6 linked regions of the Ovis aries genome follow. The protein of the gene in region 3 interacts with the protein of the main gene of each other region in a biochemical or structural test. Links are inferred from orthologs where the notes say so. Each region holds a gene or a part of one and is shown on either strand. Other genes may lie near its edges.

Evidence for each region.
Region 1: the proteins of cyclin-dependent kinase inhibitor 2A (region 3) and E2F1 form a complex in vitro, tested with the Homo sapiens proteins (2 studies listed by BioGRID). The link is inferred for Ovis aries from reciprocal best matches to the Homo sapiens genes CDKN2A and E2F1.
Region 2: the proteins of cyclin-dependent kinase inhibitor 2A (region 3) and SERTAD1 form a complex in vitro, tested with the Homo sapiens proteins (2 studies listed by BioGRID). The link is inferred for Ovis aries from reciprocal best matches to the Homo sapiens genes CDKN2A and SERTAD1.
Region 4: the proteins of cyclin-dependent kinase inhibitor 2A (region 3) and TRIP12 form a complex in vitro, tested with the Homo sapiens proteins (2 studies listed by BioGRID). The link is inferred for Ovis aries from reciprocal best matches to the Homo sapiens genes CDKN2A and TRIP12.
Region 5: the proteins of cyclin-dependent kinase inhibitor 2A (region 3) and CDK4 form a complex in vitro, tested with the Homo sapiens proteins (12 studies listed by BioGRID and IntAct, with this or other methods). The link is inferred for Ovis aries from reciprocal best matches to the Homo sapiens genes CDKN2A and CDK4.
Region 6: the proteins of cyclin-dependent kinase inhibitor 2A (region 3) and CCND2 form a complex in vitro, tested with the Homo sapiens proteins (2 studies listed by BioGRID). The link is inferred for Ovis aries from reciprocal best matches to the Homo sapiens genes CDKN2A and CCND2.

Annotation. Positions count from the first base shown.
Region 1 is NC_056066.1:63,140,864-63,145,031, forward strand, and holds the start of E2F1 (transcription factor E2F1), read right to left. Parts: upstream 2,801-4,168; 5' UTR 2,668-2,800; coding exon 2,407-2,667; intron 1-2,406. UniProt on the Homo sapiens protein: Transcription activator that binds DNA cooperatively with DP proteins through the E2 recognition site, 5'-TTTC[CG]CGC-3' found in the promoter region of a number of genes whose products are involved in cell cycle regulation or in DNA replication.
Region 2 is NC_056067.1:49,178,415-49,182,351, forward strand, and holds the start of SERTAD1 (SERTA domain-containing protein 1), read right to left. Parts: upstream 2,801-3,937; 5' UTR 2,675-2,800; intron 987-2,674; coding exon 267-986; 3' UTR 1-266. UniProt on the Homo sapiens protein: Acts at E2F-responsive promoters as coregulator to integrate signals provided by PHD- and/or bromodomain-containing transcription factors. Stimulates E2F1/TFDP1 transcriptional activity.
Region 3 is NC_056055.1:90,755,901-90,759,963, forward strand, and holds the start of cyclin-dependent kinase inhibitor 2A, read right to left. Parts: upstream 2,801-4,063; 5' UTR 2,472-2,800; coding exon 2,346-2,471; intron 1-2,345. UniProt on the Homo sapiens protein: Acts as a negative regulator of the proliferation of normal cells by interacting strongly with CDK4 and CDK6. This inhibits their ability to interact with cyclins D and to phosphorylate the retinoblastoma protein.
Region 4 is NC_056055.1:231,805,639-231,807,967, forward strand, and holds part of TRIP12 (E3 ubiquitin-protein ligase TRIP12), read right to left. Parts: intron 1,744-2,329; coding exon 1,630-1,743; intron 258-1,629; coding exon 163-257; intron 1-162. UniProt on the Homo sapiens protein: E3 ubiquitin-protein ligase involved in ubiquitin fusion degradation (UFD) pathway and regulation of DNA repair.
Region 5 is NC_056056.1:161,900,619-161,904,475, reverse strand, and holds CDK4 (cyclin-dependent kinase 4), read right to left. Parts: upstream 2,649-3,857; coding exon 2,431-2,648; intron 2,265-2,430; coding exon 2,129-2,264; intron 2,014-2,128; coding exon 1,846-2,013; intron 1,694-1,845; coding exon 1,584-1,693; intron 1,334-1,583; coding exon 1,283-1,333; intron 1,138-1,282; coding exon 1,002-1,137; intron 594-1,001; coding exon 501-593; downstream 1-500.
Region 6 is NC_056056.1:211,597,775-211,600,935, forward strand, and holds the end of CCND2 (G1/S-specific cyclin-D2), read right to left. Parts: exon of another isoform or gene 1,431-3,161; intron 651-1,430; coding exon 501-650; downstream 1-500. UniProt on the Homo sapiens protein: Regulatory component of the cyclin D2-CDK4 (DC) complex that phosphorylates and inhibits members of the retinoblastoma (RB) protein family including RB1 and regulates the cell-cycle during G(1)/S transition.

The sequences.
Region 1 (4,168 bases), on a different chromosome or scaffold from region 3:
CCACTTTCTCTGCTTCAGTTTGTATTATTATAGAATCCATTTCAAGAGTAACCTTGGTATCAGGGTGAGGACCATGAGGAATTGCTGCCTTGTCTCTAAAGTGGGGATGATGTGCTATCGGAACACAGGAAGAGAAAAAAGAAAAAATGGATGGGGCTGGGGATCTTGTCCCCCTCAACTTTCGCATCTCTTCCATAGTAAATATGCATTACATCCAGTTTGTTTTTTAAGAGCCATGACAACAGGGGAGATGTGGACCGGAAGAGCCAGGAGGAATGGTTGAATTGCACAGAGCCTTGTAGGCAGGAGGTACTCAATGAATGCTCACTTGTGCAGAAGCTGAGCCTGTAGCTTGTTTCAAGGACTGCCCCCAAACAAATGCTAGTGCAGAGGGTGAGTGGAGGCCACAGCTCAGATAGCCAGTGGCTACTCACAGGTACAATGTTAGGAGGTGTTGCACAGCAAAAGCTGGGCCCATGTTTCTGAACTACAGCAGCAAGGTGGTACTGGGCCCTACTCCTGCTCACGGCAGAAAACACGTACTAGCCCTTAAGTACTGTGACGGCAGAGGCTCTTTACGTGCCTGTGCCTAGAACCTCAGAGGCACTCACTAACAACTGCTGAATGAATGGAATGCTCAGACCCAGTGAGGCTGCCCCTGACACCCTGGGTGTGGAGCAGAGGGCAAACTTCCTGATCCCAGTCCCTGGCTGTCCCTCTAAGCCTGAAGCTCCATTGCCCAAGGGCAGGACCTGGGCCTAAGCACCTGTCCATCAGCTAAATGGAGGCTACTCGATCAGGCTCCAAGCTGGTACCTGCAGGGACAGGTTGCTGGGGTATAGGAGACCAATCAGGGGACCCACCCTGTGCAACTTCCCTCCCTCTCACTCATTTGGAGGAAGGGACCCTGGGCTTCCTACAATCTCTATTAGCATCTCCAGGAAGTAAGGCATGCCAGCAGTTAACCACTCAGGAAATCTGGTCTGGTCCCACCACTCATGAGCTGACTCACCAGGGAAGGTTCTAACATCTCTAAGCCTCAGCTTCCCTATCTGTAAAACGGGAAAGCTGTTGACAGGGTTAAATGAGTTAATTGGGTAAAGTGCTTGGCACATGGCCTAACTCACAAAACAGTCTCAAAACAATGGTGCCTCCTATTGTTATTATTAGCATCTCAGTGATTCCGGAAGGAAGGATGTACTGGGCAGGGGGCCAAAGGGGTCGGGGGAACCTTGTTGGGATGTCTCAGGGACCAGCTGCTACCCAGGCCTCCATCAGCAGCTGGGCTTCCACCTCCTTGCCCTGGGCCCTGCCTCCCTGCCTCAACTTGCTCAGCCAACTGTGCTGAGACCCCATCCTGCCTGCCCATCCATGCCCTAACTTTACCCACAGGCTGCACCAGTCAAACTGGTCTCCACGCCCTGTCCTGCAGCCCACAGGACCAAGCTCTAGGCCTCCGCCCCCTCCTTCCCCCCACCTCCTAATTCAGACACCTCTCTGGGCCCCCTAGTCTCAACTGTCTTTAGCCTCTCGCTGTGCAGGGAGCACTTTATCAAGGGATATCCCTGGGGCATTTACTCTCTCCTGGTACTGGGGGCCTCCTCACCAGCTCCCAGAGGCCTAGCCCACCCAGGACTTCCACTGGGGCCCGGGGGTCTGCCTGCCTGATTAATGAGGTTCCATGGCAACCAGGGCCTGGGAGGGTGGAGGGTGGCAGATGGAAGGACAGGCAGAGGGAGGGGATCAGCAGCTGGCCCAGTTACCCCCGCCCCTGCAGAGAAGGCCTCCCAGCCAGGCAGCCTGTCCCCAGAGGCCCGGAGGGCCAGGCCTGCACCTGGCAGTCCCAGAGGCAGGAAGGAGGGTCTCCTCAATGGCTCTTCTACGGACTGGTCCCAGAACACCCCACTTTGACCTCCCCAAGCAGCCATGCCCACCACCCAGCCACAAGTTATGGTCTGAAGCCAGAAGGCCTCAGTTTAAATCCCACTTGCAGCCTTGTGACCAGGGGGCAAGCCACTTCCCGTCTCTGGGCACAGTTCAGATGGGCACAGTGACAACACCGAGCTCACAGCATGGATGTGAGTTTTAGCTGCCTTGAAGTCAGCCAAAGGCCTGGCATGCAGTCAGCGACAGCTGAATACACGTGGACCATTATTATCATTGAGTCTGCTCCGGCGAGGAAGCTGAGGCCCACAGCACAGAGCAGCAAACAAGGACTGGCCCGAGGTCACCCCGCACCCCAGGGCGGAGCCCCGAGGCCCAACCCAGGCTCGGCACCGCCCAGCCTGGACGCCTCAGCCCACCCTCCCCCGCCCCCGCTGCCGCCGGGCCAAACATTGCGCCCCGCCCGGGTCTGCGCAGGGGTCCAAGGCAGCGCACTCAGCCCAGTGTCCCTGATGTCCGTACCGGCGGGCGGCCGAGCGCGGGGCGCGGCGCGCTGGGTGTGGGCCGGGGCGCCTGCGGCGTGGCGAAGAGCAGCAGGTCAGGGTCCCGGGGGCCGGCGGCCGGTGCGGCGGGGCCGGCGGGGGCCGGCGGGGCGCTGGCGTCCTGCGCGGTGGAGATGATGACGATCTGCGAGGAGTCGAGCAGCCGCAGCGCGCCGGCCCCGAGCAAGGCCTCCAGCGCCGGCGCGCAAGGGCCGCCCGCGGGGGCCCCGGCCACGGCCATGGCGCTCACGGCCCGCGCGGCCCGGGTGGCAGTCGGCGGCGGCGGCGCGGGCCCATGGCGGCAGGCCGAGGCGAGGGCTAGATCCCGCTCCGGATCCCGCTCCGCCCCCGGCCGCCGCTGCCTGCAAAGTCCCGGCCACTTTTACGCGCCAAATCCTTTTTGCCGCGAAAGAGCCACGAGCCGCCGAGCGCTACCACCATTGGCTGCCCGGACTGTGACGGAGGCGACGGCGACGTCACCCATTGGCTGCAGCGCGCCGGTCCGGCGGCGGAGGGCGGGACGGGGCGGCGGCGCGAGGGAGCACGACCAATCGGGGGTCGGGGCGCGCGCAGGCTTTGTCGGGGCGGTGCCAGGCGCGTTCGCACTCCCCGCCCTCAGAGGGGACGGCCCCTGTCCGAGGAGTGGTGGCCCCACCCCCTCCCCGACGCACCCCCATCTGGCCGATGCCTGTAAGTTGAGGACAGAATGTCCATTAAGCATATCTCAACGTCAGCAGACCCCACGTGACCCCGATAACTCTCACCTGTGGCCCCGACACTCTCGGCCAGATCTCTAGAAACTGCCCCTCCTCTCTTCTCGGTTCTCAGGCCCACCTCCAAGCTCCGGCCACTTCTCCCTCAACTTCCGTCACCAAAGCCGTTCACTTTCAAATCGTGTGCCCACCCTATTCCTCTCACCCAGAGCCCAAGCAAAAGGGAGCTGTCAGAAAACGGGGAGGGATATCTGGACCAATACAGCTCTGGGCTTTTCTACAAGCCCTCCTATAGCTGGAAACTCCAGTACCCTATGCACAACTTCTGCGTGAACTGATTCACTCGTTCAACAAACGTTTTGAGAGCCGGCTCTAAGCCCCATTCTTGACTCTTGGCGCTAAGGAACTCACAGTTTAGTGAAAAAGGGAAGAGAGAAACAGGTACAAGCATTTACAACATGATGTGGAATTTTCACTATTAATTCCATGTTAGATCTCACAAAGGGAGGAGGTGAGTATGCTGAGCATGAAAATGCATTTAATCCGGAGGCCCTGGGACCTCTCCATCAGCCATTTCTCATTGCTCAGATCAGCTGATTTGAGCAGTACTGTCCCCTCCTCTATGCCAGGCTCTGTGCCAGCACTAAGGGCAGAGATGCAAAAGGCTTGATGATTTCTATGAACTTGCCTGCCATCTGGTGGGGACTGACCCATCAGGGGAAAAAAAAACACTAAGACGCAGTCAAGAATGAGATCCCTAGGCCCCATATAAATATCACTTCTTCCAGGGAACACTCAAGTATTGAAGTTACTCGCTTCCTCCACTGTCCACCCCCACTTCTGTTCCAGCACTGAGCGGGCACACTGGATCTCTTTATCTGCTTTCCTTATCAGACTGGGAGCTCCAATAGGGCCTCTTCCCAGCACTGGCCTGGTCCACAGTAGGTGCAGAGAAGGACTGTAAAAAGAAACAGGCTCACACTGGAGGCTACCTGGAATGTCCCAGGTCTCAGAATCACCTGGGTGCTT
Region 2 (3,937 bases), on a different chromosome or scaffold from region 3:
TACCAGGCTGTGCCTCCAGGGATTCAGCACAGGACCTAGTCCAATCACATTCCAGCCACCAGGCCCTGTCATTTCATCACAAGGGCCAATCCCAGACTCCCCTCCCCATCAGTCAGAGACAAGAGGATGGAGGTGAAGTTGCCCAGGACTGGATTCTTTCTCTCCAAAGCCCCTCTCAAGGGAAGCCAGCTGTGTCTTTCCAAGGAGAGTTGGTCCAGCCAGCAGGCTCAGTTTGGACATCAGATCAACATCCCGGCCCAGAGGGGTCAACGCCCTGGCCCCGGTGGTCGCTCCAGCGCCTGTGTGCCCACCAGCACGTCCATGAGGTAGTCCAGCTCGGCCTCGTCCAGATCTGGACCTACCTCCTTGCCTGGTCCATCTTCAGGGCTGGATTTGTGGCCCTCAGAGACTGGTGCCCAGAGTTCACTGTCATACATGGACGTGTCAATGTCCTCAAACAGGCCCTCGAGCCCATCGTCCAGCAGACAGCCAGTGGCTGGGCCCAGCAGGTCCAAGGCGCCCAGGCTGGGTGAGGCTCCCCCGGCAGGGCGGCCTAGTGGCCCCTCATCTACCAGGGGCTGTGGGGCCTGGCTCAGGCCCTCAATATGGCTGAGGTCCTCCAGAAGGCTGGCCATGGAGGCTGAGAGGGCAGCATCAGAGCTGGCCAGCAGGTTGTCAGCCACGCTGGGGGCTGTAGGTGGGGTGGGCACAGGTGGCAGGGCAGCCGTGGGTGCCATGGATGCCTGGATTCGCCGCAGTGTGTTCACTACCAGCACCAGGTGCCGCAGGTCCGGCTCACTCTGCCGCAGGCTGTGATGGAGCTTGAGCACCGAAAGGTCAAAGAGAGAACTGGAGGCTACAGCTGGGGGTGCCTGAGCTACTGCTGAGTGGCTGGGATCCAGCCACCAGGCGTCCACTGCCAGGGTTTCCTTCTCCTCCTCCTCCTCCTCCTCCCGCTTTCGCTTCAGGCCCTTGCTCAGCATCATCTGTGGGAAGAGTCATTCAGTTATGGAAAGCCAGTGTGAAGTTCTGACCATTGCTGTGTGATCTTGGGCAAAGCACTTAACCTCTCTGAGCCTACGTTTTCTTGGGGAAGCTTTAAGACATTGATGATAATTGTATCTACTTCCTAGAGTTGTTTTAAGGAATAAATGAGATTTTAAAAAGCACTTTGGACAGTGTCTGGTACACAGCAATTACTCCTGTAAATAAGTACTATTGATAATAACTATTATCTATTTCTTCAATGAACTATGTGAAATGGCTAACATGAAGAGTCCAGTGTGAAATGTCCAATATTCAACTTTTTTTTTAAAACCTACAAAAGCAGTTGTTTCACATGGTTTAATCTAATATTTACTGAGTGTCTACTAATAGCATCAGACAATAAACAAACACAAGAAATGTACGGATGGTGCTAGGAAGATGCTAAAAGTTTCTGGAGAGTGGTCAGGGAAGGCTCCCCTGAGGAGGTGACATCTGAAATGAGCCCTCAAGTACGAGAAAGAATCAGCCATGGAAGAACCAGGGGGAAGGCATTCTGGGAATAAAGAACAGCAAAGGCAAAGAAAAGCCTAGAGACTGGATGAGTCTGAGCTGAAAAAGGACTCTGTAGTCAGTGCGGGGGTTGGGGGTTGAGGGTGGAGTACGGAGGATGTGGGGGTTCGAGAGTAGGCAGAGGCAAGGAGCTTGGATTTTATTGGGGGGTGTGGTGGGAAGCCACTGAAGGGGTTTGAGCAGGGAGGACAGTGGTGTTGTGGACTGATTAGGTTTCCAGAAGATCCCCTTGGCTGCTAAGAGGAAGGGGGAGCGAGGAGGGGAGGGGAGAGCGGCCCTGAGATCCTTTCGGAGGCTACTGCAGTCTTTGGGGTAGGCGAAGACGGTGACTTGGGAGCATAAGGTGGCAGTGGGCATGGAAGGAAGATGGTCGCTTCAGGATTTATTTGAGAGACAGCGTGGACAAAGCTTGCCGGAAAATCCTGATGGGCACGGGGGTCACGGAGAGAAGTTTGAAGACCCACACTTTCCCCGGGGTGGGTGCCCCTGACCCAACCTGCTTTTTTTAAGCCAGGCAGCCTGTAGGGTATAGCACCCAGATCCTTGCCCAGGAGAACTTCAAGAGTGACCCTCTCACACTACTCAAAACTGGGTCCTCGCCTCCTTCCCAGCAAATCCGAGAGTCCGGAACCGCAGGAATTCAGCCCCCACTCCCGACTCCGCCCCTCTGGCCCCGGCGCCCCCTGGCGGAGCCAGGCCGGCTTTCCCCGGGGATTCCGACTCTCCAGACCCCAGGACTCTTTACAGTGCCCCGCGGGACGTGGTCATTTCTGCTTGCCACCAGGGACCGTGCGGGCCGGGATCCCCGGAGGGCCGTTCTGCCCTCTCGGCCTCCGCTCGCTTCCGGAAGGCAGTGGAGGCTACTCCTCCCGAAGCGGCGGCGGCGGCGGGGGCGGGTGAGTCACGCAGCCGGAGCCAGGGAGCCGGCGCCTCCGCCCCCTTCCCGGGCTGCGGTGTGATTCACCCGCCAGGCCCGGGCGGGCGGCACGGAGAGGCCCGTGCGCCTCGATCCCGGACAGCCCTGGCGCGCACCTGCCGGACCGGGGGATCGAACCTGCCAAAGAACCCCGCGGCCAGTACCCCTCTTTCCCCAGGCCTCTTCCCTTCATTTACATACCTAGTTCACCAGCTGCCAATCAGAAAGAAGAGGGAGCCACCCGCAGCCAATCAGGAAGCGGTGGCGGCAGCATTGCTCGCCCGCTCTGCTTCAGCAACCGGCACCTGGGTTGAGAGACGCAGTTCTGACTCCAGCTCACGACTCCCGGCTCCTGACTCCCCTTAGTTACCGCCCACTCCCGTGGCAGCCCCACCCTTCACCCAGGGATTGGTCCTAGACGGTGATGGGCGGAGCCTGTACAAAGCAGGCTAGAAAGAGGCGAGTTGTCTTTAGGGCGCATGTCCGGGAGGCTGCTTGAAGGGAGGGAGGAAGATAGGGTGGCTCTTGGCCCTGTAGGACGGTGGCGCGGTGGAGTTTTTGTCTCTCAAGCTGTGGGCCCCCTCACATCTGGCCACATCTGCATCACATCTGCACTTGTCAAACCCAATAATTGAGCTTACGCTAGCAGCCCCAACAGAGGTCTACACTCTAGGCCAGCTTAGTCCTGGATTCAAATTCTGGTTTTTGAGCCCACAGAGTCTGTTAAAGGGGGATCTTTTTGCCTACCTCTTGAGAGTTGGGAAACTTCAAGTAAGGTATTATCTGTAAGAGCACTATATAAGCAAATTCTGGGTAGTTGGACTCTGTCCTGTGATTACAGACAGGAGTTAGGGGTAGGGAGTGGAATGGCACTGGAGTCCCTTCCTGGGCTCCATTCCGTAAGTACAATAGCTGTGTGACCTTGACCAAGTGCTTTAATTCTTTAGGTTTTCTCACTTATTTTTAAAATGAGAGAAATAGCCTCTGACGCAGAGGATTGTTTTGAGGATTAAACAATTCCTGCACAATGCTGAGTGGTGTGTTAGGTGTCTTTTTTCATTAGTAATGGCTGTTGTAGTAATACCACAGGTGCTCAGTTCAAGGGGAGACATTCACGGTGGGGTGCACGTGGACAGGAGTTTAATACACGTCAGATAAACTGACAATGGGACTTACCTTCTTCAAATACCTCATTTGCTAATTCCTCATTCGCTAAGGGGAAGAACTGTTTGTGAATAAATCTTCTGACCAAAGTAAGCTATCAAAAATGCTAACTCAACTACGTGATTCAGACAACCATTTTCAATAGATGCTCACCCTTTGGGGTGAAAGTTAATGGGGAACAGGATCTCGACAGTTTCCAAAGCATCATCCCACAAATTCCTTGCTAACTGCAAAGGGGGAAATATCCTTTTATGATGGGAAGAGGAGGAGCTCAGCACCTTAACTATATAATGAAACTTT
Region 3 (4,063 bases):
TGGACCCATTTTAGAATTCTGATTTACAGAACCATAAGATAATAAATTTATGTTGATACTAAATTTGTGGTAATTTGTTATAGCAGAAATAGGAAGACACCTTCCAAGATCACACTCAGACTTCATTAAAGAGGAGGTGCTCACTTCATTTGGTTCCTAAATAATCTTTGATGATACAAGAGCATTACCAAAGAGGAATTTTGAAATATTGTTCACAATCACAGCAACTTTGCAATTTGAGTGTTATACATTGGGTGGAGGTGATAGAACATTCTTTTTTAGGGTAACCATTATTTGGTTACATTAGCTACACTATATTGAGGAATTATTTATTTTTAGTTGAGTTCTGTATTAAACTTGAATTAATTTGTTCAAACCAAGGAATCTTAACAAGTTATACTATGCTTGTTGAGTTCTATCCTAGAGAAAGTGAAACTGATTTAATTAAAAAAAAAAAAAAAACCACAGAGAAAATTTAAGTGAACCAACTTGCAGCTACAAAAAGGAAAACTAACAGTGCATTAGAAGAAAGAATTTTTTAAAATAAAAACTGGGGAAATTTACACTATTGGATTTCTCATGGATTATGAATTAATTTCCAAAACAAAGGGGCCACACCCAAGGACACCATAATCTTTTGGAAACTCTACTATAAGTGCCAGAGCTCATATATATATATGTATGTCTCCTTCCATGCTTGTATATAATGCAGGTGAAAATATATTACATGGGTTGGATAAATGAAGTCCTTGGTCTTAGTCATTAAATTGGTTAAAGGTATTATTATATGCTACAGTATTAAAGTATGAAAAGTAACATAATATTTAAATCATAGTAGCAATCCAAAGCAAAAAGAAAATCATTCAAATGAATATTTCTAGGGTACTTAAGTCAAACTGAAGATATAAATTTAATTTAGTCATTAAAATTTTTCTATAAACTAAGTATTTTTAAACACAAATTTGGTTAGGGTTCAAAACTAAAATCATATCCCTTTTGTCGATGCCCTTATCCTATTTAAAAATAATTTAAAATTAATTATCTTTCTTTTTGTATTTAAACAATAAAGTCTAATATAACATCTTTCAGAACTAGAAGGCTGTAACACCCAGTCTGCAAACTGCTGGCAAAACTTTAGAGATATCCAATTATGAATCATGCATGCATTTTTTAAAAAAAGAACTCATGCTTCTCTTCTACAACCATTCAACCTTTTAATCTCCAAATCTCTCCACATTTCAAATCCCAAATAATCTCAGATTTGAGGATATTTTATTTTTATTTTTGTATCTAAAAGTATATAAAATATATCTGTTCTATGTAGCATAGTTTGAGGAAAGGACGATTCGCTTGTGAAATCACTTGTTAAGTTCCAGGTTGAGTTACTTTTCCTTTGTCTTGTTATGCTGGAGTTTTTGCAGTGTACATTTCATATAAATATTATTTTTCAGAATCAGAAATCGTTGTCGAAACCTGGAATAAAACTGGAGTGACTGCCAGGAAGAATTTATTTTTAGCCCCAGATTTAGGAAGTTAGTGAAGGCAAAACACACACACACACACACACACACACACACACAGAAAAACGAACTCACAACTCATCCTCACACATACAAAACTGGAGTGGGGAGAGGAGAAATGACATTTTTTAAACTATGAGGAACTGAAAACTTCCCAGGAAATTAATGTATACCAAGTAAGTTTAAAATACCCCAAAAGGTAAGAGACACTCAAGTGGTAACTAAATTGGCAGCATTATTTCAGGCATAATTGCACTAATTTTTTTTTTCATGTATGTCTATTTCCTAAACAAGCATATATGTTCCTTACTCGGTTAAAAAAAAATAATAAACACGATATATGGTTGCTTCTGAATAATTTCAATCGACCTTTATTCCAACTTACACAGCAGTAGATTTCCACTGAAATCTCCCTCTCACCGCCCCTCCCCCCCCAACAAAGAAGTCGATCAGCTCCATTCACAATTTTATAAGTTCGGGAGTAAGTGGTCCAGCATGTCTTACTGTCTTTATACTCGTACTCCAGACGTTCGTCAATTTCGCATATCGGTCTATATTAACACACGTAGGTTCTCCCTTCTAGATCTTCACACCGTTTTAGAGATCTGAACCCCACGCGCCTTCTCAGCCAGCTCCGCGGCCGTCCTGAGCCCCCTGAGAGTCGCCGAGAGGTCTCCGATCCCGAACTCGGTCTGAAAAGTCTCCCCTTTACCAAGAAACGCTTACCTGGTTCCGACTCACTGGCGGACCTCGTCCTCCAAAGCCTCTCGCCATCCACCCACCCACCCAGCCGCCCACCTTTCCGCGGCAGACCTGCTGACCCACCTGAATCGCGCTTCGACCGTAACGGTTCGGCGCGTTGGCCAACGCTCCAGCCTCGAGCAGTGCCCGTACCTCGTCAGCCCGGCCCCGCGCGGCGGCGGCGGCCAGCAAGTCAGCCGAGGTCTCCATGCTGCTCCCCAAAGCTCGCCCCTCGCTCCCTCCCTTCCTCCCGCCTGCGTCGAGCGCGGGCGGCCCGCCCAGGCTGCTCCTGAGCAGCCCGCCCCTCCTCTTTCCTCCTACGGGGCTGGCGGAAGCGGCCCCCAGACTCGGCCCCTCGACTCCTCCCGAGGAGTCTTTCCACCCGGGGAGCGCCCTCCACGCGCTCTTCCAGGAGGCGCCCTTTGCTCCTAACGAACAAGACGTCTATGAAGTAGCCCCCGCCGGGCCTCCTCGGTCACAGGTCTGCCGCCCACGCGACCCGAGGCACCGGCCGGAAGCTGTCCGCTCCGGTAGCGCGACGGGACCGCGAAAGGAGGGCGCCCTGGGACCTCCTCCCCGCCCCCCGCCCCGCGTCCGCGCGCAGCGCGCCCCCACCCCCATCAGAGGCGCACGCGCGGCTCCGAGCGAGTTCACTCCAGCCAAGTGAAAATTCCTCGCGTATACACCCTGAGTGGCGTGAGACAACTGCATAGGATTCCTAACTGCCAAGTTCGAACCAGTGTGTTTGGAGTCATAGGCAAAGTTATTGCTTCCTCTTTTAATCAGAAGAAACAGCCAGCTTGTCCTGGCCCCGAGCGCCCAGGATAGGTATCAGCCATTCCACCATGAGGCTTTCCTTCTTGGAGAGGATACACTCCCCCTCCAACGCTCAGCACCAGGTTTTCGAGCGCTGGCTCGATTATGCCAGAAATTCTAGCTCAAACGTCCCTTCTGGAGAACTGGCTCACGCGCCAGGCTGTGCCTCCCTCCCTCCACACACATGTAAAACGGATGTCGGGGGAGAGCGTTTCCTAGGCTTGCACAATGCCTGGTACTAGTGCCCAGTATACGGGCTGGCTCCGAGCAGATGAGGTCAATTTAAAAGGGATGGTGGAGATTTCTACCTGTACGCAGATAGGAAAGTGGCAAGGGTATCCTTGGGCTTAGTAGGCTCTGTTCTCAATAATTTCTCCTACACCAGAAAACATGCTCATTGCTCTAGGGACAGGGCTGCATTCGGAGATGATTCAGAAAGCAGGCTCACACACTGTCTTGGTGCCACTTCTGTCCACCTTTCCTTCCTGTTAGAAAAACCTTACACTTTTCTTAGTTATAAAATGGAGGGGGGAATAAGAGGTGTCCCTACTTCCTAGGACTGTTTTGAGTTTTAAATGAATTGATACACACATAAGCATTTAGAACAGTATCACACATCCTAAGCTCATGCCTGTTAGCTCTTAACATCCATTTTGAAGATTTTCTTGCAATCTAGGAGACAGAGAAGGAAATGGTTTAGGTAGAATTATCAATATTACATATAAAAGGGCAGGCAAGAAAACCTTAATCACTGAAACAATGATGGACATCTTCCAGTGACCGACATATTTAATGAAAAGTTAATGTTTAATCTGTCTGCTAGATAACCCAGCTCTGTTTTAAAAGTTATATTTCAATTCCTACTTGACTCCTCTTGAAGACCCATAATACTTGACTATACTTTCAGTGGCTGTTAGTTTAGGCAACACATGAGGTTTTAAATAATGACAATTAAAACACTTATGGGACTGGGAAGTCAAGTCCAT
Region 4 (2,329 bases), about 140 Mb from region 3:
GAAACACTTGGGGCAAAAAAGCCCAAAACCCCTTTCAGTCCTCAAGTCCCAGTCTTGAGAGAAATGAAGCCAAAATATTGGAAAGCCTCCTTTAATAGGTAAACAAACTTTAAAACCTAGACCTATGTGTGTATCTGAAACCTGGCAGAGCCCAGGCCTTACCTGTCATGAGTGTAACCGTGATCTGGCCTGCAGCATTCCATCAGTGTCTTTGCATCCCAAGTGTCTGCTTTACTACCACACAGAAGCTGATCCAGCTGTGTGTTTAAACAAGGGCAACAGATTACTAAGGACACAACTGAGCGAAGTGGCATGTGTTCTGCTTTGTGGTGTCCTGATATTAAGTCCACAAGCTTCTGCCTGGTGCTCTTTATACAACATGCTCTTCCACTATTAGTCACAGATTCACTCTCCTCTGTAGCTGACAGTAACGGGTGCCCTGACCATCTGCAGGGACTAGGCTCTAGAGAAGCCTTTAATCTGAACCAAAACCTACCTAATTCTTCTCATTTCTTTAGAGGCTTTAACTTCATAATCTACCTCTGACCAGAGAGATTTTATAAATCCTGACTTTTAGAAACGCAAGGGCACACAATAACGGAAGCTAACAGAAAGAATATTGAGTGGGAGATAGAAGTGGGAGAAGAAAGCTGAACCAACAGCAAACGGGGAGGTTTTCCCGCTTTGCAAAGGCACTTCTATGCCAGATGGTTGTCTAGGACTAAGACAGTCACTAGAGGACAGATGCTGGAAAGAAATGCTCATGCCCTTAGGATAAAAATCTAACATCAGTATCCAATTAATCCATCTCTCACCTGGTTGACTGCCCATATGCAGGATGACTTGTCTACTTTGAGAAAATCCATTCCGCACATGTGAAATTTGGTATCTACTACATGTCACTCAATGTCAGGTTCTTTATGTATCTTGTTCAGTGAGACAGAGTTTACCTCAATTTTATGAACGAGTCAGTCAGGTTATATATGAAAACCTGGATAAGGTCACATAGCTAAGCAGTAAGGTTGTTGTTTAGTTACTAAGTCATATTTGACTCTTTGCAACCCCATGGACTGTAGCCTGCCAGGCTCCTCTGTTCGTGGGATTTCCTAGGCAAGAATACTGGAGTGGGCTGCCATTTCCTTCTCCAGGGGATCTTCCTGACTCAGGGTTGAACCTGCATCTCCTGCACTGGCAAGCAAATTCTTTATTGCTGAGCCACCTGGGAAGTCCCAGGTAGTGGGGACCAGGATCCAATTCCAAAAGAAACCCTTGCTGTTTTCAATTCCAGGTGACACTTAGTGCCTAAAAGTGCCAGGTACACACATTTTCAATAAGTAGCAAATCAAAGTGGACTTAAAAATAATTGAGATTAAAATGCTAAGTTGTTCAAAGATTTGCAGATTCAGCCAGAAAATGTATTATAGAAAAAAAAACATCATATTGAATATTCTTCCTCACTCAGGAAATGATCTTATTTTTCCCAAACTACCCTCTTAAAGCCCAACGCTCCACAATTTTATTTGCTCATAACAACAGGGTATCTGACTAAAAAGTACAGAGATACCTCACTAAGATAATTACAGGTATGGAATTAGAGATGACCATTTCTTTTGCACACAAGCTACTCACTTCTTCTGGGTAGAAGTACTGGAGATGACTGAGTGGGAAGACTGATTCAAATCCATCTCTAAATGAATCAAACTGCCTGGAAACACCTTCATTTAGTGCCCAAAATATAACCAGCTGCAAAAAAAAAGAAAGAAAGAAAAAACAAGTCTCTTTAAAAATCTGTGACCAGAGTTCAAATCTCTTTCCTACTTAATATTTGGCAAAGTACAGTGAAATATCCTTCCTGATTACTTAAAAAAAAAAAATTCCACGGTCTTTAGAGTATGTTCCAGAAAACTGCATAAGTAACAGATAGGTCAGGTCAACTTCTGATTCTGGGTCTGGCCATTAAGAAAATGTAAAAAATGCCGCATGCATTTACATTTAGTGTGTTTTAAAAATTCATTTACATACTATCCCTGTGAGTTACAAATTACCTTATCAGATGAAAAACAGATGAAACTTCCCAGGAGGATGAAATGTTACTGAGAATTAAAGATAATGTTTCAAGAGTCACAATTACCATCTTTTGGAAAAGTCTGGTCTCAGAGCTGTAGGTGGCTTTCTGCCTAGAACCAAATGCTCTTTCCATTCAATGTCAGGAATAAACAAAAGAAACTTTTCCAAAAGTAGTGATGATAAAGACATATAGATTGCAATCTAAAATATAATTTGGATCAGTACAAAACTGCTTTTCCTTAATAAACAGGGTCAAGGATGG
Region 5 (3,857 bases), on a different chromosome or scaffold from region 3:
AAAATAAAAACCATTTAAACTCTATAATCAAAGAAGCCATGTAAATGCCTTTCCTTCCCTTGTTAGTAGAGGGGCTCCACTGACCCTGTGATCTAAAGAGAATCTGCAAGGAAATTCCATCTTCCAAATGGTTTTTTCCAAATTCCCAAACAGTAAAGCCAATCAGAGGAAGAAATATTAAAAAAAAAAAAAGACCATATTTGTTTTGTTTGTCCTGTATAAAAAAGGATCCCAATATAAAGGTATAAAGAAGGGGAGAACAAGGGACATATCTCTTGGTGTAAGGACACAGGATAAGGATAAGCCTCAAAAAGAAGGGTGGGAGGGGAATATTGTTAAGGCAGTAAAATATTGTCTGTAAAAAGTTGGAGGAGTCGTCTCCACAGCTTCAGAGGTGAAGGCAGAGGTTGCCTTCTCAGTGGTGGGGCTCTCCACTCAAGTGTTCAAAAGAAGGGAAATTTGTGTCTCTCGCCTTGGTTCTGTTCCAGCCATTCTGTTGCTCACTCTGCGTCACCTTCTGCCTTGTGTAGATAAGAGTGCTGCAGGGCTCGGAAGGCAGAGATTCGCTTGTGTGGGTTAAAAGTCAGCATCTCCTGAGAAGAGACGCAAATGTCAGAAAACATGGAAGAAACAAAAGGGACTCCTGCTTAACCCTAACAATACCTAGAATGGGTGATTTTTTTCTATCCCTCTTGTGGCCAGCCGTTCAAAACAGTAATAAAAACCAACCTGTTCATTATCAAGTCTCAGTAACAACAATGCATTTGGGTCCCTTTTATCCTGCTCCATTTCCCCCCACTGATGGCTCAAGTGGTAAAATAAACTGCCTGCAATGCAGGAGACCTAGATTCAATCCCTGGGATGACCCGCTGGAGAAGGAAATGGCAACCCACTCCAGTGGGCTACAGTCCATGGGGTTGTAAAGAGTCTGACAGGACTGAGTGACAAACACGTGATTTCCCCCTGTAGTCTCGCCCTGTGCCCATGCCTGAGTCTATTACCAGCAGCAGCTGTGCTCCGGATTCCTCCAGCTCAGGGACCACTGACTGCACTGGGCGGGGCCCTCTGGGGGAAAAGGCTCCTCGGGGTAGAGAGACATCTCGGGGCCAGTCATCCTCCGGGGGCAGTCCGATCAGGCTATGGGGAACAAGAGAATTCTGGTCAGGAGGGCCTTTTTCCAGCCCCCATCTCCAGGGGCAGAGCCAGCTGCTGTCAAGGACTCAGCAGAATGCAAAGTCAAGGACTCGGAATGCAAAGTTCTTCCCCCTTGCAGGTCACTTACTCAAAGATTTTGCCTAACTGGTCAGCTTCAGAGTTTCCACAGAAGAGAGGCCTAAGGTGAAAAGAGACAGTCATTCCAGTAGCAGTTTTACAAAGACAGGGTGGTAGATACTGTTTAGTGGCTCAAAACATAGGGTGTGGAGAATAAAGGGCTATGAAATTCCTAATTCCAGAACATTTCAGAGTTTCCGGCTATGGACAAGGTGGCCAATAGTAAGTGGAAGAGCAGGCAGGGTATAGGCGTGGCTTATGAATAAAAAACTTGGGAAATTCAAAATGTTTGGGATACTTGGGCCCCATACTTTCGACGAAACATCTCTGCAAAGATACAGCCAACACTCCACATGTCCACGGGTGTTGCATACGTAGACTGCAAAAGAACTTCTGGAGCACGATACCAGAGTGTAACAACCTGATGGGAATAAGTAATGCGGATGAGAGTCCTGCAAGTTACTGCAAAGCACATGGAAAAACACGCTCCTTCTCAACTGTTATGGGCAATCACTCTTCTCCCCCAGCCAGACCCCACTCTGGCCCCATCCTGGCCACCATCATTCTACTGACCACAGGTGTAAGTGCCATCTGGTAGCTGTAGATTCTGGCCAGGCCAAAGTCAGCCAGCTTGACTGTCCCACCACTTGTCACCAGAATGTTCTCTGGCTTCAGGTCTCGGTGAACGATGCAGTTGGCATGAAGGAAATCCAGGCCTCTTAGAAACTGGCGCATCAGATCCTGGTTTGGAAGGGGGAAGTACAGAGAAACTGGGAATCAGGTGCCACACCTGAAATTACAACAAACTACCACAAAGGTCTCAAGCTATCTCTCAGTGTCTGCCCGCCCTACTTACCTTTATGGTCTCCACTGGCAAGCCTGGTGGGGGTGCCTTGTCCAGATACGTCCTGAGGTCTTGGTCCACATGCTCAAACACCAGGGTCACTTTGGTCTCCCGGTCAGTTCGGGCTGTTGCACAGACGTCCATGAGCCTGGCCAGAACAAATGGTCACTCATTGAGCAATGGTCTTGGACCCAACATGGCCTCCCCTATTTCCTCAGGGTTCCCACTCCTCTTCTGACCACCACTCCACATCTACAGGTTAGGCTGTCTTTTTCCTTTCACGACCCATTCCCACCCTTCCATCTTCTTCTCACCTGACAACATTGGGATGCTCAAAAGCCTCCAGACGCCGCAGTAAGGCCACCTCCCGAACGGTGCTGATGGGCAGGCCCCCTCCAGCACCTCCTCCGTTGGGGACTCTCACACTCTTGAGGGCCACAAAGTGGCCACTGTGAGGATCACGGGCCTTGTACACTGTCCCATAGGCACCGACACCAATCTCAGCCACTGGCTCGTATCGAGAGGTAGCCATTCTCAGACCAGAGGAGGCCCTACAATCACAGAGGCTCAATGAGCCTGCAGCAACAAAGTGACTCCCACAAAAGACATCACGAAGACAACACCAACAGCATTCCCAAGCTTCCCTGAAGGCAGCCCCCTAGGTAACACAATAACTCTAACCCCAAACCCTCCAGCCACGTGAGGCCCTATAACTTTTTCAAAGATGCATTTTCCTTGGGGACCATCAAGCCCCACACAAGGGAAATCCCATAAGACACACCCCCTACATCAAAGACCCGACACCCAGTTCCTGAAATTACACCTCCCTTCGGCCACAAAGGAACATTATCACATCCTGCCCCACTTCCCGCCCTCGAGCAACCCTTCCATAACCAGCCCGCGTAGGAAGCAGTGGACGGCGAGAATGGTCCCCATTCCTGAAAAGGGCTACACTCACCTCGCCCCGTGTCAGGAGCTGCGGGGTCGGCCCGTTATCCGGACCCCGGAGCCGGTTCCTGCAGCGCCATACACTCGAGGTCTGTCCTGGGCAGCTGGACGCTATGGGCCCGACCATAGACACAGGCCGCAGGCTAGAGCGGCCCCCTTTACCCCCACCCTCACCATGTGACCAGCTGCCAAAGAGGCGCGCGGAAATTGGAGGGGCGGGGCCAACGCCGGACGTTCGGACCACGTGACCGGACTACTCATGCGCGGAGGGGCAGCCAGAAAGCGGCTTTGAACGAGAAAGGGGCGAGGAGGGGAAAGAGGCGGAGAGAGATGGCAACCACATGATCTGTTGCTATCACACGTGACCGCTTGACATTGCTTGGAGGAGCAGAGGTGTGGTTACGCTGAAGGGCACGTGACTGGCTGCCTTAACTCTGGCTGGGCGTTGGGGCGGGAGAAGAGAGAGGGTGGAGTCCAATGCGATGCCATGGCAACCTGGGCCACCCAGGATTCCCAACTCCGGGCTGCAAGCCGAGCCTGAGTCTCACTACCTGTCTCTCACTCTCTCTAAGCGGGGAGATGGGTCGAGGGACGGGAGGTGCTGCTGTCGTCTTTCTGCTCCATCGCTAGCAGAAAACATGTTCTCATTTGTGTCTTTGTTTCATTCATTCATTCAGCAAATGTTTACTGAGTCCTTGCTTCCTGTGTGTCTGTGGGGTTTCTTTTTTTTGTTAATTTTTTTTCGACAAGTGTCGCAGACACTTGACCTTTATCTATAAAGATACAGTCACAT
Region 6 (3,161 bases), on a different chromosome or scaffold from region 3:
TTGTCACTCCCTCCCCATCCTGTCCCTCCTTGATTCCTAATTCCTTCTCAAGTTCATTGCTTCACAATCCAATCCTGCCATACGTGGCATCCGCAGTTCTTCCAAATTATCCAACAGGGGTATATACGTGCTAGTTCATAACATGAAAAAAAAGAGTCTCTAATTTGTTCCCATAGTGCAGGCGTACATTTTTCTCTAGCTACTCTGCAGGTTTTCCTGTAAGCATATTACTATGACTTTTAACATCATCAAACAGTAACTTGGCATATATAAGGGATTCCCTTCTGTTGTACTTCAAATAGGCACCAAATGCTTGTAATGATTTTGTTTTTATAGGACCTTTATCTCTCACTTCTAAAAGATCTTTCAATAGGATCTAGGTGGGGGCAGAATTTTTTTTTTTTTAAGTTTCATCCTAAAATGTAAGAGAACCAAATACAACCAGAGAGAAGGAGAGAGCGGATTGGACGCACCCCTCCCATTGGGCCCGCCCCACATCCTCACAGGTCGATATCCCGAACATCCGTAGGGGTGCTGGCTTGGTCCAGCTCATCCTCCGACTTGGATCCGTCGCCCTGGTCCTGACGGTACTGCTGCAGGCTGTTCAGCAGCACCACCTCAATCTGCTCCTGGCAGGCTTTGAGGCAATCCTAGAAGAGAGAAGCATCGAGACCAGGGCCGTTAGCAAGGGCACCGGGACACAGCAATCAACAGAGAGCACGCACGATTCCAGCCCGCCTGACTCCACACGCCAGCAGGTGGTGGTGGTGTAGTCACCAGGTCATTTCCGCCTCTCGCGACCCCCTGGACTCCAGCCCGCCAGGCCCCTCTGTCCATGGGATCTCCCAGGCAAGAATCCTGGAGTGGGCTGCCATGTCCTTCTCTGCTTCCAGTAGAAAGAAAGTCAACATGGAAGGAGGTGCGTCTTCCTGGTGGCCGGGGAACCACTCCAAGCGGGGTCCACAGGCCAGCAGCATCTGCAGCATCCGCACCACCTGGAAGCTAGCTAGAAATGCGATTCTCAGCCCTCTCCGAACCAGCTGCATCTCAGGATGTGCATTTCATCAGAAGCCCGGGCAGCGCTGGCCAAGGCGAGGGGCCATTTGCGGCCATGCAGCACCTGGTAACTCAAGGGCCAGCGGGATGCTTCCTGCTTGGGGCCACTGCATGGTGAGTGTGAAAAGGGGAAGGTGAGCCCTCCAGACAGTGTGACAGAACTAGACGACCTGAAGGGCAGATATAAGCGAAAGGACTAAACTACACTGAGCCTCCCAGCCACTGCAACCGTACTCAGAAACAAGCAGATTCGCCTCTCCACTTGTTTACCATTTCTTTAACTCTCATAAAAAACACAACACAGAGTGTTTACAACGTTCTGGACACTTAAGCCGTCTAATTTGGGAGAAAGCAAAAAGAAAAAACTGCAGCACTGCTTTGAGATCAGTCTATATTTGGTAGGGAAGATTCAGGGTGTGTCAGCCCCACGCAGAAGCTCCTCTAAACTGGGCGACATTGACGCAGCAGGAATTCATGGGCGTCGTCAGGGTGGGACGGTGGCTGGCACTAGCAACCGGGGCGAGAGCTGAAGTAACTGCTCACAGCAGATACTGGGTAGGCCAAAGGTTCGTTCAGCTTTTCCTGTAAAATGTTGTGGAAAAATCTGAATGGACTTTTTGGCCAACTCAGCATCTCCCGACCTCTCTACTCATCAAGACTGGTTTCCTGGCACTCTCGTAAACGTATGGAAACTATGTGAACTCCACTCTGCCTGGGTCTTTTCAGAGTTTCATGTATGTTCCCCTTGTGTTTGCTCCACCACGCAATTTTCACTGCCCAGAGGTTGCAGTCTGCCAAGCACACAAGCATTATCTCTATTTTCCAAAGATCTAAAATAAAGTTGGAACTCCCAGGAAAGTTTCCATGCCCCCACATTTTCCTTTTGTATCTCTCGGCCACCGTACACTGTTAAACCACAGCTTTTTAGGAAAATTAACATCTGGACCGAGCGCTGAGAGCAGATACGAAATACCACTCAGAATGAGTGAAGAGGGACAGAGGGAGGTGGTATCTGCTGTCCCCACGACCAGACCTGTGGGCACCACTGAGTTATTCTCCTTCTCTGTCCTTGGTTTCCCCATTTGTAATGTAAGACTCAGGAGACGCTCACAGAGGGAGGATCAGTTGAGATGTCCAAATGAAGCTCTAATCGTTCATCACAAAGTGGAAGTCTTGGAATCTGAACAAATTCCTGAGGTTTCTCTGAAATGAGGTACGAGTGAGCATTTGCTCAAGACAGGTGAGGGGCACAGAGGAACGCGCACCAGGGATGGAGCGTCCAGCAGGGATGCAGACTCTTTGCGAACCCACGGACTGCAGCACGCCAGGCTTCCCCGTCCTTCGCCATCTCCTGGAGTTTGCTCAAAGTCATGTCCATTGAGGTGGTGATGCCAACCAACCATCGCATCCTCTGTTGCCCCTTCCTCCTCCTGCCCTCAGTCTTTCCCAGCATCAGGGTCTTTTCCAATGAGTTCACTCTTTGCATCAGGTTAACAAGGCAAAAACTGACAACAGTCAACACTGCTCTGGCTGGTCCCCTACGAAGCTCTCCACCAACCCTGTCGACTTTCCTTCCTCCAAGACTCTGTTTCTGTGTCAACACAACTGCTACCCAACAATACGATGAACCCAGGATGCCATGACCATTTCTGCATTAGCCACACCAGCGGCTGAGATGGGTGGTCCTCTGAACATGGGGATGGGGCTCCAGAGAGCTAAGCAGCTTGATAGGGGGTCATGGACAGTCTCCCTGCAGGTCACCCAGGTGCCTGATCTTCCTGGTATTCAGGCTTCCCTCCCAGCAGCCTGAGACCCTAAAAGGAAAGTTCTGAGAAAGTCCTTCGGGGCGGGCTGGTACACCGGGCAGTCACTTCTACAGGACTTCAAGATAACACAGGCATCGAACATCACAAGTACATTAACTTGCAGCCCCAAACCTTCAAGCTTTCCTGAATAAAATGAAGAAAGATATCACACAAAACACAGACTCTCCTTCCTTCAGTCAATGTAAATCATTTTTGACAGTGACCAGCTCTTCCTCTTTGATACTTCTTGCTTCGAGAGAAAAGGAAGGACCGTAGCAGTTGCTGCAGAAATGAGGATGG